Linked DNA regions of Tamandua tetradactyla. The protein of the gene in region 1 purifies or fractionates together with the protein of each later gene. This does not show direct contact. Links are inferred from orthologs where the notes say so. Each region holds a gene or a part of one and is shown in the gene's direction. Other genes may lie near its edges.

Region 1 (7,847 bases):
ACACAGTCAGGGCTTCTCCCTCAGCTGGAAGGGCACATGGCGAACACGGCATCATCTAGCTTTCTCTCCTGGCTTCTAATTTCATGAAGCTCCCCGGGAGGAGTTTTCCTTCTTTATCTCCAAAGGTCGCTGGCTCGTGGACTCTCTACTTCGTGGTGCTGCAGCATTCTTTGCTCTCTCCGAATCTCCTTCATTCTCCAAAATGTTTCGTCTTTTATACGACTCCAGAAACTTATCAAGACCCACCGAAATGAGTGGAGACATGTCGTCACCTAATCCAGTTTAACAACCACTCTTGACTAAATCACATCATCCAGGGAGATGATCTGATTACAGTTTCAAACATACAGTATTGAATAGGGATTATTCTGGCTTTTTGAAATGGGATTTAGATTAAAATGTGGCTTTTTTAGGGGACATACATCCTTTCAAACCTGCACAAGAACCATCTGGAGAAAACTCAAATGGTGCCTGCTCCAGGTTCCCAGCCTTACAGGTCAGCAAAGAAAGGAGAATAAGATAGCAGTGGGGCTCTTTCTAGTGAACTGAGACTGAAAGTAACAATAATGGACATCCCAGCTTGGAGAGAGTAACTGCACTCCAAGGGCCAGCTACCCAATGAACCTCAGTGCAATCACGAAAAGAAACACCAGACAAATGAAAATAAAAAATGGAACAAAATGACTGACGGAGGCTACTAGCCCTCCTGACAAAATAAACCAGTGGTAGCCACTGGAGAGTTTTGCCGGGAGAAGAGCCCTTTCCAAGAAGGATTTTTCTAGAAGACAAAACCAGTTGATCTGCAGGTCTTTCTTAGAAGGCAGAACAATGGGAGGCACCTACAGAACTGCAGACAGGCAACACCTGGGGATAAACCAGTTTGGGTCCCAGAGAGTTTATCAGAGTAGATAAGCAGACCATGGTAATCAATGCACATCTGTTCCCCACTTTCTAAGACCCCCTCCCCATCAAGTAAAAGGGAAACTTAATATCAGCTAGTTGGAACATCTCTCCTCTTGCTTCCACTCTGGCCTTTTCTGAGTTTCCACTTCCTGCTCCCTGGGGGGTGCTCCCTTCACTCTCTGAATGGGCCCACCCCCTCCACCATTCGTACATCACCCAAGAAAGCCAGGAGAGCTAAATTGCATGAAAAGGTTTTCTTTTATCATCACATATTCACACAAACAGTGATCAAAGGAGTGGAGTTTTAATGCTTTGTTTATGATACCATGTATACATTTTTCCACCCTTCCTCCCGAGGAGAGTCGATGCCTTAATTTCTGTCTTGGTTATTATGTAGGCAGCTATGTTCAGTGATTTATTCTCAATACAGAGGAGGGGCTCTGGCCCTGGGTATCTACAGTGTGGTTTTCTGTGTAGCAATAGACCAGCAGAGCAAGAAGACAAGAGAGTAAGCAAACAAATAAGTAATATGAGGTAAAAGGGGGAAAAAAGCAGATTAAGGGATTGGAAGATGTGCTACAGAGTAGAAGTTAGGGGTAAGGACTGTTTTAGACAAGGGAGTTGCAGGAAACCTCTCTGCTTTTCTCTCTGTCCCATCTTCCTGCTTCTCTTTGCTTGCTCATTATCACATATAACCCCCAAAGAGCCACCTCAAAATGGCAGCTTCAGCCCCTGAGTTTACTTGCCCTGTTACAAGTCCTAGGAACACCAGTCAATTCTCTAGAATCACTAACTCTTTTTTTTTTTAACATTTTTTATTGTGAAATATGACCTATATAGAAAAAACAATAAAATTCAAGGTATAGGGTAGTGCGACGGTGCCTTAGCGGCAGAACTCTCACCTGCCATGCCCGAGACCTGGGTTCAATTCCCGGTGCCTGTCCACGTGAAAAAAAAAAAAAAAGAAAATTCAAGGTACATTGTACCAAATTTTTACAGAACAGATTTCAGAATTTGGTACGGGTTACAGTTCCACAATTTTAGGTTTTTCTTTCTAGCTGCTCCAAGACACTAGAGACTAAAAGAAACATCAATATGATGACACAGCAGTCATATAGAATCACTAACTCTTAATTTTAATTAGATGGGAGCAAGAATGTAACTGGTCCCGTTTTTATGGATTCATTCATTATAGAACGTAAGGATGTGCCCCTAAATAGGGCCAGGAGTCCCAGAAAAAAAAAAAGGCATCCCACTAAGTAGCTCCATCACATCACTGTGACTCAAGGGAGAATATTGTACCTCCCAAAAGAGTTCGGTGGAACAACAGTTGAAAACCAGAGAAATACATGGCATGAGAGTAGTATAATATGTTATAAAGGCTCAAAGCTGGAAAAGATCCCATGTAGAAGGAGAATCTGAAAAGGCATCATAGAAGAGGTACAGTGTGGAAGGTATCCTTATGGTCATTCCATCCAACTATTGACCCATCTGGTGCTTGTAGGTGGATCTTGGATGACAGGTAGGGTTTGAACAGTTGAAAATACAAGTAGGAGGGGTGGTATTTCAAGGGAATAGCATTAGCAAAGACTTAGTGGTGAAAAGGCATAAAATATTCTGGAATCAGAAAATCATACTGGGTATGTATAGGGGTGTAGTGGGTAGTTTGGCAGGATGAATTGAACTATATAGTGGAAGGCTGAGGATACTGCAGGCTAAGGTGAACAGATTCAGCGGGTAAAGGTGAAACATTAAGACTTTTTAGGAGGGAAATCAGCCAGAGCAGAGCTGTGTTGTGGATTACTCTGCCAGTGGACAATAGCATGGATTGTAGAGGGGAAAAGAACAAAGCAAAGCTGTCAATTAGACTATATTAACAGTCAAGGTAAGTGTTCTAGTTTGCTAGCTGCTGGAATGCAATTACCAGAAACGGAACGGCTTTTAAAAGGGGAATTTAATGAGTTGCTAGTTTATAGTTCTAAGGCCGAGAAAATGTCCCAGTTAAAACAAGTCTAAAGAAATGTCCAATCAAAGGCATCTAGGGAAAGATACCTTGGTTCAAGAAGGCCGATGAAGTTCAGGGTTTCTCTCTCAAGTGAGAAGGCACATGGCGAACACAGTCAGGGTTTCTCTCTCAGCTGGAAGGGCACATGGTGAACACGGCATCATCTGCTAGCTTTCTCTCCTGGCTTCCTAATTCATGAAGCTCCCCGGGAGGTGTCTCCCTTCTTCATCTCCAACGGTCACTGGTTGGTGGACTCTCTGTTTCGTGGTGCTGCAGCATTCTCTGCTCTCTCTGAGTCTCTCTGAATCTCTCATTCTCCAAAATATTTCCTCTTTTATAGGACTCCAATAAACCAATCAAGACCCACCCAAATGGGTGGAGACATGTCGTCCCTTAATCCAGTTTAACAACCACTCTTGACTAAATCCCATCATTCAGGGAGATGATCTGATTACAGTTTCAAACATACAGTATTGAATAGGGATTATTCTACCTTTAGGAAATGGGATTTATATTAAAACTTGTCTTTTCTTAGGGGGCATACATCCTTTCAAACCAGCACAGTAAGGGGTGGGGAAATGGGGTGTGGATGAGACAGGCTGAAAAGAAATTTGCAAGACTTGGGAATTGAGGACCTATAAAGGGGCAGAGAAAGGAGTCAAGCACGATTTCAAGACTTTCAGCTTATAGTAGTTGTGAGGATGCAGGAAGTGACATGAGCAGAAATCATGTGTCACAAGTAACTTTTGGCTGAGAAATTGGAATGGAGTGGAAAATGTTGAATCAGGTTTGAATGGGACTTTGAGTTACCAGTGGTGCAGCAGGTAATTGAAAATCCAAGATATTATCAGAAGAGAGCACAGGGACCAAAGATATGTGTCATCTGGATGGGATCATGAGCAAGAGAAATGTCTGGGTAGAAGGCAGGAAACTGAGTACAGGCTGGTACAGACATAGAGAAGGAAGTGATCTCATGATCAAGAGTTTGTCATCTGCCTCATCTTCTCAAGTACAGAATGGGATCCGATGAGTGCTAAGAAAAGGTTGGGACTGAGAAAAGGCCATGGAGGTGACTGGTGACAGCCTAGCAACTTTTTGGTAGACAGCTGGGGCTGAAGTCAGACAGAGAGGAGTGAGTAGTGTAAAAGTGAGGCAGCAAGCTGCTCAGTGAAAGAATGCAGAAGGGTGTGGTAGTTAGATTCAGCTGTCAACTTGGCCAGGTGAAGGCACCTAGTTCTGTTGCTGTGGACATGAGCCAATGGTAGGTGAACCTGCTGATTATATCTGCAGTCGGCTAGGAGGCATGCCTGCTGCAATGAATGATGTTTGACTTAATTAATTGGTGCTTAAATGAGAGAGCACAATGCAGCACAGCCCAAGCAGCTTGGCATACCTCATCTCAGCACTCGTAGCTCAGCCCAGGCCTTTGGAGATGCAGAAAGGAATCAATCCCGGGTAAATTGTTGGCCTGGAGGCCTGGAGAGAAGGCCAGCAAGATCAAATGTGCCCCCCACATAAGGAAGAACCTCAGTTGAAAGTTAGCTGCCTTTCTTCTGAAGAACTAATGAAATAAATCCCCTTTTATTCAAAGCCAATCTGCCTCTGGTGTGTTGCATTCTGGCAGTTAGCAAACTAGAAGAAAGAGCTTGAGGCCAGGAGTGTAGAGAGAGATCGGGTATCAGCATCTAGGGACGACTGGCTTCAGGGTTCATATCCCTCAGCATCTAGATTTCTGCTTCAAGACACCTCACGCAGGTGAAATGTGACACTACATATCGAGTGTTTACCTCAGAGACTGCCACTTAGGAGGGTACCAATGACTATCTTGGGAGGATTAAGGGAATTGTTAGTTCCCTGTAAGCACAACCCACGGAGGATAACCGTGCTACACTGGGACAGATTCCCCTCGCAGGGCCTGTCTGCGCATGTGCGCAGGAAGGACGCGGTCGTGCGGCGGAAGTGGAGTCGGCGACGCTTTAGGGAAGGGAACGGCGGAGTAAACATCCTCTGCCCACCGCCTGTGGACTGTGTCGGCGGGTGGAGGCCACCATGAACAAGCTCTTGGATGATTATGACCCCTATGCGGTTGAAGAGCCCAGCGACGAAGAGCCGGCTCTAAGCAGGTGGGCCCCCGTCCCGCCCCAGTCCCCGAGGCTCCGACCACGGCCGGGCCTTCTCCTCCTCCTCCTCTTGCTGCGCCTGCTGGGCCTGTGCGGACTCTGGGTCCTGGAGTTCGGTCGCCCGACGTGCCCAGCGGTTTCCTGTCGGAGACTGAGGGAGCTTCCTGGTGGGGATCGCGCAGCCCCGGGAGGCGGGGCCGATATCGCCGCGGGGCAGGTCGATATTACGGAAATCACGGTGGGGGTGGGGTGGGGGTGGGGGTGGGGGGTGGGGTGGGGCTACGTGTAAATCTTCAAAAGCGGTGAGACCGAATCGTGTCTCTGCAGCTTGCTAGCGGAGTGACCTAAGGCAAGTTACTTATTCTCGGTTTTTCACCTGTATAATGGACATACAGTAACTGTGTTGTAAGTTTGTTGTGAGGTTCACGGGGCATGAAATGCCCATCTTGAAGACCAAACTTCCATTAAGAAATACGAGGGAATAAGGAATATTGCACAGACTTTGAGTACCTGTTATTTACTACTTGACTCCAGAGGTCAGCCACAAGAGCCTTAACTTCTGCAGGCTTAGGGTATGGTAGAAAAAATAAGACAAAATATGTATCTCGAAAGAGCTTTTCAGAACATTTACATCACTCCAGAAAAAGAATAAAAAGAAAAAAAACCCATACATCCCATACCCCTTACCCCTCCCTCTCATTGACCACTAGTATTTCCATCTGATTTTTTTTTTTACCCCCAGTCTCCCCTGTTATCTATGTGTCCCTTATTTTTTTACTCATCTGCCCATACCCTGGATAAAAGGAGCATCACACACAAGGCCCATGAATAGTTTTTTGTGTGAACATAAGTTTCATTTCACTAGAATAAATGCCCGTTGGTGCAGTTGCTGGGTTGTATGGTAGTTGCATGTTAGTTTTTAAAGAACTACCAAACTGTTTTCCACAGTGCCTACCATTTTACATTCCCATCAACATGTAAGTTGTTAGTTCCTGGTACTGCTTAAAATTGTCTCTTGCATCCAACACTTTGGAAACACTGCAGTATAGGGCATGTGAGAATTTCTGAACTTTAACTCCATTTACATTTGGTCTGGATAATTCTTGATTGTGGGAGGCTGTCCTTTGCATTGAGAAATATTTAGCTGCAATCTCTGCCAGTTGCTCCAGTTGGGGTAGAGAAAGAATAATAGTGAAAGGTGAAGTTGAAAAGATAAGTTGGAGCCAGATTGTGGAAGGCTGTTTTCAATGCTATTCTCAGAGATTTGGCCAATTGAAGGTCTAAGTTGGATAATGACATGATCAGAATTCTTTAGGAAGGACATTTTTGGCAGCAAGGTTAAGAGTGGAATGAAACAACTATATTTTAGGTACCCTCCCTTAAACTATGTTTAAAATTTTTTCTAGTCTGCTAGTCTAACAGGAGTATAAACAATTCAAGAACAGGGAAAAAGAATATATTTTGAAATATGCAGAAATGGTTGCTGTATGAAGTGAGAAAAGCTGCATGTGGTATGATAGATGTATCAAATGCAATCTTGTAAATTTTTTTTTGCATGGGCAGGCACCAGAAATTGAACCCTGGTCTTCAGTATGGCAGGCGAGAACTCTGCCACTGAGCAAACATGGCCTGCCCTAGTAATTATTTTTTTAAACTTTTTTTTTTTGTATAGTGTAACATATATACAAAGCAAAGAAATAAAAAAAGCAGTAGTTTTCAAAGCACTCTTCAATAAGTGGTTACAGGATAGATCCCAGAGTTTGTCATGGGCTTCCATATGATCCTTTCATATTTTTCCTTTTAGCTGCTCCAGAATATAGGAGGTTAGAGGGCTTAATACTTTTTTTTATCATCACAGTCGACTTTTTTCCTTCTTTTTTTGTGAAAAATAATATATGTACAAAACTATAAATTTCCAAGCACAGCACCACAATTAGTTGTAGAACATATTTCAGACTTTGACGTGGGTTACGCTTTCACAATTTTAGGTTTTTACTTCTAGCTGTTCTAAAATAACTGCAGACTAAAAGAGATATCAATTTAGTGATTCAGCATTCATATTCATTTGTTAAGTCCTATCTTCTATATATAATTCCACCATCACCTTTGAAATTTCCATACCTCTCCTTAGGGTATTTGGGCTATGGCAATTCTAAATTTTTGATTTTGGAAGCGTCTGTCACTAATACGGGATAGGGAGATGGAACTATCTGATGTTCTGGAGAGGCTGTGCTAGGTTTCAGGACTTATCTGCAGCAGGGTCCCATCTGAAGGTTGTAGATTTCTGAGAAGTTACACTAGTGTCTGGAACCCTTGTGGAATCTTATATATTGCCCTAGGTGTTCTTTAGGATTGGCTGGAATGGTCCTAGTTAGGGGTTGGCATGTTATGGTAGGTAGCAAGGTCTAACTGAAGCTTGTGTAAGAGCAACCTCCAGAGTAGCCTCTTGACTCTATTTGAACTCTATGCCACTGATACTTTATTTTATTTTATTTTGTTTTCAGTAGGAAACCTCTAACTTCATTTTTCTTTCTCAGGATATTTTTGGCTATTTGGGGCACACTGCCCTTCCAGATAAATTTTTTTTTATTAATTAAAAAAATATATTACCAGAAAGAAACACAAACATTCTTAACATATGCTCATTCAGTTCTGCATATATAATCAGTAATTCACAATATCATCACATAGTTACATATTCATCATCATGATCATTTCTTAGAACATTTGCATCAATTCAGAAAAAGAAGTAAAAAAACAACAGAAAAATAAAATGAAAACAGAAAAAAAAATTATACATACCATACCCCTTGCCCCTC
Region 2 (6,910 bases), on another chromosome or scaffold:
TTCATGTTGGAAAGGGCTGTCAATAATATGGGATGGGGACAGAACTAGCTGATCATCTGGAGAGACCGGCCCCTCTGTGTTTCAGGATTTATCTGGCCTAGGAACCCAACTGGAAGTTGAAGGTTTCTGGAAAGTAATCATAGTGCATGGAACCTTATAGAATCTCAGATAAAGCCCTAGGTGTTCTCTAGGGTTGGCAGGAATGGTTTTGGCTGAGGTTTGGCAAACCACAGTAAACAGCAATATCTAGCTGAAGCATGTGTAAGACTAGCCTCTCAATTCTAACTGAACTCTCTCAGCCACAAATTCAAAAGAATTGTGTACAATTTTTTTTTGTACACAAAAGAATTTAGTATACTAAATTCTCTGCCATTTTGACCAGAGGAGGGTCCCTTCGCACTACTGTTTATATATTTATGTTTGAAATTTCTCATTAAAAAATGGTAAGTTATTGTTTACTAGTTTGCTAGCTGCCGGAATGCAACACACCAGAGATGGATTGGCTTTTAATAAACGGGGATTTATTTTGTTGGTTCTTCAGAGGAAAGGCAGCTAACTTTCCACTGAGGTTCTTTCTTACGTGGAAGGCACAGGATGGTCTCTGCTGGTCTTCTCTCCAGGCCCCTGGGTTCCAACAACTTTCCCCCGGGTGACTTCTTTCTGCATCTCCAAAGGCCTGGGTTGAGCTGCAAGTGCTGAGATGAGGAATGCCGAGCTGCTTAGCTGTGCTACGTTGTGATCTCTCATTTAAGCACCAGCCGATTAAGTCAAACGTTACTCATTGCAGCAGACACGCCTCCTAGCTGACTGCAGATGTAATTGGGAACACATGAGGTTCACATACCGTTGGCTTATGTCCGCAGCAACAAGATTAGGTATGCTCACCTGGCCAAGTTGACAACTGAATCTAACTAACACAGCATTATATTAAAATTACTCTTTCCACACTCTTTTCAACATCTATAATCTGGAACTGTTAGTACAATTCTTTTCCCCCTTTTGATCAGTAAGACATTGTCTATCCCCCAGTGTTAGAGCCAGGTTCAACCCTGGGAGTCATATCCTACATTGCCAGAAAGACTTTCACTCCTGGGTGTCATGTCTTCACTCTTTCTTATTTCTGTCCCTTAAACTGGATGATTTAAACAGTCTTATCAAAGAGTTTAGAGAATAGTTCCAGGCCAAAGCTTAGGGTGGAGACTTCCTGGTCCTTTCTACAGAAGTTTCTTAGGCATGCATGTGTAGCCCTAGCAATTTCTCCAGGTTCTGAAAGTCCCCACTTTCCTAAGAAACAGTTTCCTAGGCACTGCACAGTGTGTCCTACAGCCAGGAATCCCAGGCAGCATGACGTGACTGTTCTCCCACAGCATTGTGTTAGAGAGTTCTATGAGCTGCCTTTTACACACACAGGAAGGTTCTGGGACTGTGAGCCTCTTAGGCCAACATGTTTGGGTCAGACATACATGTTTCGACTATGAGCATGAGGATTACCTCACTTCCTCAGGAACCAGGACCATGGCTCTGCACTGGGAGTGTGGGCCAGCTCCATGTCAAGCTAGAGGGGTGCCAGAGTTGCCAACCACAGCACCATAATATCCTACGGCTTTTAAGTAGTCTATTTCTTGATTTGAAACTCACCCTATTATTTTATTTATTTATTTATTTATTTGCATGGGCAGGCACTGGGAATCGAACCCAGGTCTCTGGCATGGCAGGCGAGAACTCTGCCACTGAGCCACCGTGGCCCGCCCTCACCCTATTATTGAAGTCTTTTAACTGTTTCCTGGAGCTTTGAGGAAGACATTTTCTGCCAGTTCTTGCTGGTGTTCAAAGCTTCTGTGGGGAAATGGGGACCTGAAGAATCCCACTCTGCCATTTTGATCAGGGGACGGCCCCTTTGCACTATTGTTTATATATTTCTTTACGTTTGAAATTTCTCATTAAAAAATGTTAAGTTATATATTAAAATTACTCTTTCTACACTCTTTTCAACATCTATAATTTGGAACTGTTAGAAGGAAAATTAAAGTTAATACTGTAAAGCAGATCATCATTATAACACCAAAAACAAACACTGCTCTTAATTTATAGTTACTCAGATGCTATATATCTTAATTATTCACATCATCCTGACTCTTCTAGAAAGTCATCTTTTGGCAGTATGAAATTAATAACAGAGAACAAGAAAGTAACTAGACAGTGTCAGTAATTCTGGCCCTATAAATATCTATTAACATTTTAAATTTTACTTTCAGAATGGTCAGAATTCATTATAAAAGCTGATTTTTACCTATGTTCACCTTATTGGGAAAAGATTGCTTCTTCTTTCTAGTTCCTAAAGAAGTAATTATATGAATTGCTATTGCATGCATATCCTACACCTTAGTAAAGGACAGCTTCTGAAAGGCCAGGAGATGTCTTGGACTGATTTTTTTCATATGGCTAGTGTATTAAACAAGGATGGGGAGGAAACAGGAAATATTTATTGAATACCTACTATATGTAAAGTGCTGTCACTTTACATTTACATTTTACTATGAAGTAGGTTTTATTCCTATATTACAGAAATTAAGTCTCAGGGATTTAGTAATTTGCCCAAGAGTCACTCAGCTAGAAGATAGCATAGCCCAAAAACCTAAATATAACTCAAAATATCATCCTTTTGATTACCCTATATAGTTAATATTTAATTAACAAATATGTGGTTGCTTAAACTATAGCTTAGTGAAGAAAAAAATTTGGATTTGGGGTCAAAAATCCCAAGTTCAAATCCTGACTCTACTTACTATATAATTTGTATTAAGATATGTAACATTTATGATATGGTTTTGTTTTCTAAAACATTGAAGATAATAATACTCATGTTAAAGACTTCTCATGAAGATCAAAATGTGAAAGTCCTTTTGAAAACATAAAACAATAAATGTAAGAAATTAACATTGTGACACTTAACTAGGGAGTGGGAGGGGGTATTTAAGCCGGAAGTCTTTACTCTCAAGTCTCAAATGCAAAACTGAATCTTGAGGATTCGGAGATGGGGAGGTAGGATGTTATGTTAAGACTTATGACCACTCTTAGAATCAGATGGACAACCAGATTCATTCTTCAAACTGCATCGCTTGCTGGCTGTGTAACCTTTGGCATGCTACAATCTTTCAATCAGGGATGTTTATCTGAAGAACGTACAAAATAACAGTCCTATCTCATATCCTTGCTGAGATTAAGGGAGTTAATGCACGTAAATAGTTTAGCATGATGCCACGCACCAGATATATTTAACTTTATTATTTTAGTACTCAGTTAACTATTATTAACTTCTGCTAATAACAGTGGGCATGAAGCCATGTGGAAGCTACAAATGCTTTAGAAGACCGAGTCCCGGAGCTCATGAAATGTAGCCCAAGAAGGCCAAGTCCTAGGATATCACGGGTGACACGTTCCTACCTGCAGGCAAAAGGGACAGTACCCAGCAGGGCCGGGGAGAGAGAGTTCCGAAGAAAAACCTCTCTCCTGCACCCTGGGAAAGGAAAGCACCGAAGGACTGACCAGAAAGAGTCCCAGAGCGCCCGGGTCCCACCTCAGCCTCCCCCCGCTCCGGCTGGGATGGCTGAGCAGTCCACTCACAGATCCAAGTTCTGTGGCGCCGCCTTCCGAGTGTACCTTGAGATCATCCTCCTCCTCAGTCGCGGCCGGGGCGGGTACGCCAGGGTGGGGGTCGCCGGGCCTGGCCCTCCAGCCGGCTCGGCCCGACCCCTCCCTCACCTTCCGGTCTCGTCCCGCCCCGTCGCCTAGACTTCGGACCACCACCTCCCCAGGGTGCCCAGCTCTCTAGTCGCCCGCCCTCCCTCGTTCCCCGCTGGGAGCGGAAGTGACGAATGTATCCGGGCACCCGCCTAAAGCTCCCGCCGACGCGCGGCAATGACGACGCCTGGGGGTTCCGGAGACTGAGGCGGTTTCTGAGTTTCTCTCCAATCTCACGTCCGGGGCTGGCGTTGGGCTAGACTTCGGCGGCTCGTGGCGCCGAAGAACCCTGATTCCCAGGGGGAGCGCCTGGAATTGTCACGTGGTGGGAGGGGGCCGCGGAAGAAAAGTCACAGCAGAGACACACTGAAGAGGCCCCTGAGCTGTAAGAGGAATTGGCTTCATTTTGTCACATGCAGGATGGCCTGGTCCGGAAGTGAGCCCTCTAAGTGAGGCCCTTGCTGCTTAGTCGCTTCTCTTTGGGTGTTCTGGTTTTCTCATCTATATAGAGAGGAATTAACCTGGATGATCTCAAAGTCCCTTTAAGTTCTAACAGAGTAAATTTTGCATAAGGTGTGCTTGACGTTGGGGGATGGGTCGGTGGGTAGAATTATTGCCTGTGCTTCTGGGTTGAAAGGCAAAATGATGATTTGGGCACACCATGGTGAGTGAGTATCTGTATAGAAGTTACAGGTTCTTTTCGACCTTGTTTCTTTATTCTGTTAGAAAGCCGAGTAAACCTAAGAATCGAGGGGTGATCCTCCATACTTCCTTTACCAAGCATCACCTGGCAGCAACCTAGGAGGTAGAGAATTGTCTCACTTTCCCCAGATTTCTGATGGAGTACTCATTTTTGAGTTTGTTAATCTATACTTCGAACCTATGTTTTCATTCTACCATTTTGAGAAGTAATGAGTTCTAGAGGCATTAAAGTAGCACTTTTATTTGTAAGGGAAAACCCCTTAGACAATAAACAGATTAAAAGGCCTTATTTACCACCCTTCAAGATTCCAGAGCTGTGCCCCCTGAGACTTGAAAAACAGGCAAATTTAGGATCCAGAACCATGGGCAGATATATTCTCTTTAGAGACCCACAGGGAATAACCTGTATTTCAGAGTGAGTCAATAGGACGTGAATATTTTATAATTTTGAATTCCCTTATGCTCTACAATGTTTATAGAAGGGAGAGGGCTCTGAAGAACATTTAAATAATAAAGTTTTAAACTGGGGTCTGATTTTAGAGATAGTAAGCTGTAGAAAAAGAAAGTGAAGTATTCAAAGCAACACAGCGAATTAGTGGAGAACAGGAACTTTTGATAGTGTTTAAACAGTGGATCTTAGTGTAGAATTTCTCAGAGCATGCTGCACACAGTGTGAGGACAAGCATTTTTAAATTTTATTTCACACTTAATTTGGGAATGTTATACTGGATTTCCATTGATATTGATACAATGTTTTTAAGTATAAAAAAGTTATTAAAGTAATTTTAGCTAAATGTTATACTCGGTAGATGATCGAGACAAAAATGATGATGGCATGTGAATAACTGAATTTTGGAAAACAGTATTAATGGAATCACCTAGGGAGAATGCTGGGAATGGGATGTTACTATAATACTGTTTTATATGGTTTACATTATTGAAATTTTAAATACAGTTTTCAAAGAAATATGGAGAAAACTATGAGGCTTGCTACAGTAGAAGACACTGTGGAGTACCGCCTGTTCCTGATACCAGATGAACTAATGGATCCAGAAGAACACAAAGAGATTCTTCAGAAATATGTTGAGAGAATAATGACTCAGTTTGCACCTGTGCTGGTTCCCTATATCTGGCAAAATCAGCCTTTCAATCTCAAATACAAACCTGGGAAAGGTAAAGCTCTTTTACCTAACTTGATATGTATGACTCTATTATTTCATTCTGGCAACAGTGATGTGCAGTAATAGTCCATAGTTCAGTCACTGTTGTCAGGAAGGTATTTATGTCTTGAACTTTTTATATAGTGATGCTTTCATACTTTAATCCTTAAACTTGAAAAAAGTTTTTGTTTTTTTTAATTTATGTTGATGAAAACCTTTCTAATAATCATTACTTTAGGATTAGCATATATTCAATTGTATTAATCTCAGGACTATTCTTTTGAACTTTTAATTACTTAACTATGCCATGATGTATATATGTTTCTATACTAAACAGGTTCAGATAGTCAGCTTCCTTAACCATGGTTCCTTTTGCTATTATTCAGTATTCCTCACTCTTGGTGATGTGTTTAGTAGGCTGCCTTATCTCACATAGTTGTTTTGGTGGGAATCTAAGAGTGGCTTTGCCCAGGAATTATGACCACTATTTGACCGGGAGTTATGACCACTGTTTGCCACTCAGAAACATTTTGAGTTTCCTTCACTACTTCCCTGTTTTATTCGTTTTTGAGGTACCTGTGGCTGAATATGGTACTTTAAAAAAATCATTTCTTACAGATTTAGTAAAATAATTCATGGATAGGTGACCAAAGCTCTAGTCCCCTGTGACTTATGTGGAGTCTTACTTGGAATCAAAAGCTTCGCATGTTGTGCTACCATCAGTCTGACTCAGTTTAGTGCTTACCTCTGTGCCTTTACAAATACTGTTCCCTCACACATACTGTTCCCTCTTTCTGTAAAGCCCACGTCTGATCGTTCTTCCAGATATCACCTCCTTTTTGCTCACATAGCTCTTGGTGCATGTCTATTGTAGAGTTCATCATCTCATTTTAAGATGACTTGCTTCTCTCTCTCTTTTTAGACCTTGAGCTCCTTAAAAATAGTCATCTTGTATCTTGTTCATGATCTATGTTTCTGTTCACTACTTCCCTGTTTTATTGATTTTTGAGGTATCTTGTATCTTGTTCAGGATTTCAACCCCACTCCTATTATAGCACTTGAAGCATAGTAGTTAGTGAATGTTGTTCAACTGAATGATCACATATATATTTTTTATTTTTATTTTTTTATCACATAGTTGTATATTCATCATCAGGATCATTTCTTAGAACATTTGCATCAATTCAGAAAAAGAAATAAAAAGAAAACAGGAAAAAAATTCACACACACCATACCCCTTACCCCTCCTTTTCTTCGATCACCAGCATTTCAATCTACTAAATTTATTTTAACATTTGTTCCCCCTA

What was found. Proteins that work in one complex are often made in the same cells at the same time.
Region 2: the proteins of EAPP (region 1) and ECD purify together in Homo sapiens (affinity purification with mass spectrometry; 3 studies listed by BioGRID and IntAct, counting the BioPlex papers as one, with this or other methods). This does not show direct contact. The link is inferred for Tamandua tetradactyla from reciprocal best matches to the Homo sapiens genes EAPP and ECD.

What each region holds. Positions count from the first base shown.
Region 1 is NC_135340.1:19,477,180-19,485,026, forward strand, and holds the start of EAPP (E2F-associated phosphoprotein), read left to right. Parts: upstream 1-4,841; 5' UTR 4,842-4,957; coding exon 4,958-5,031; intron 5,032-7,847. UniProt on the Homo sapiens protein: May play an important role in the fine-tuning of both major E2F1 activities, the regulation of the cell-cycle and the induction of apoptosis. Promotes S-phase entry, and inhibits p14(ARP) expression.
Region 2 is NC_135339.1:23,439,262-23,446,171, forward strand, and holds the start of ECD (protein ecdysoneless homolog), read left to right. Parts: upstream 1-3,910; 5' UTR 3,911-4,161; coding exon 4,162-4,190; intron 4,191-4,249; exon of another isoform or gene 4,250-4,314; intron 4,315-5,398; coding exon 5,399-5,616; intron 5,617-6,910. Other genes in the region: primary cilium assembly protein FAM149B1, read right to left, coding at 3,625-3,671. UniProt on the Homo sapiens protein: Regulator of p53/TP53 stability and function. Inhibits MDM2-mediated degradation of p53/TP53 possibly by cooperating in part with TXNIP. May be involved transcriptional regulation. In vitro has intrinsic transactivation activity enhanced by EP300.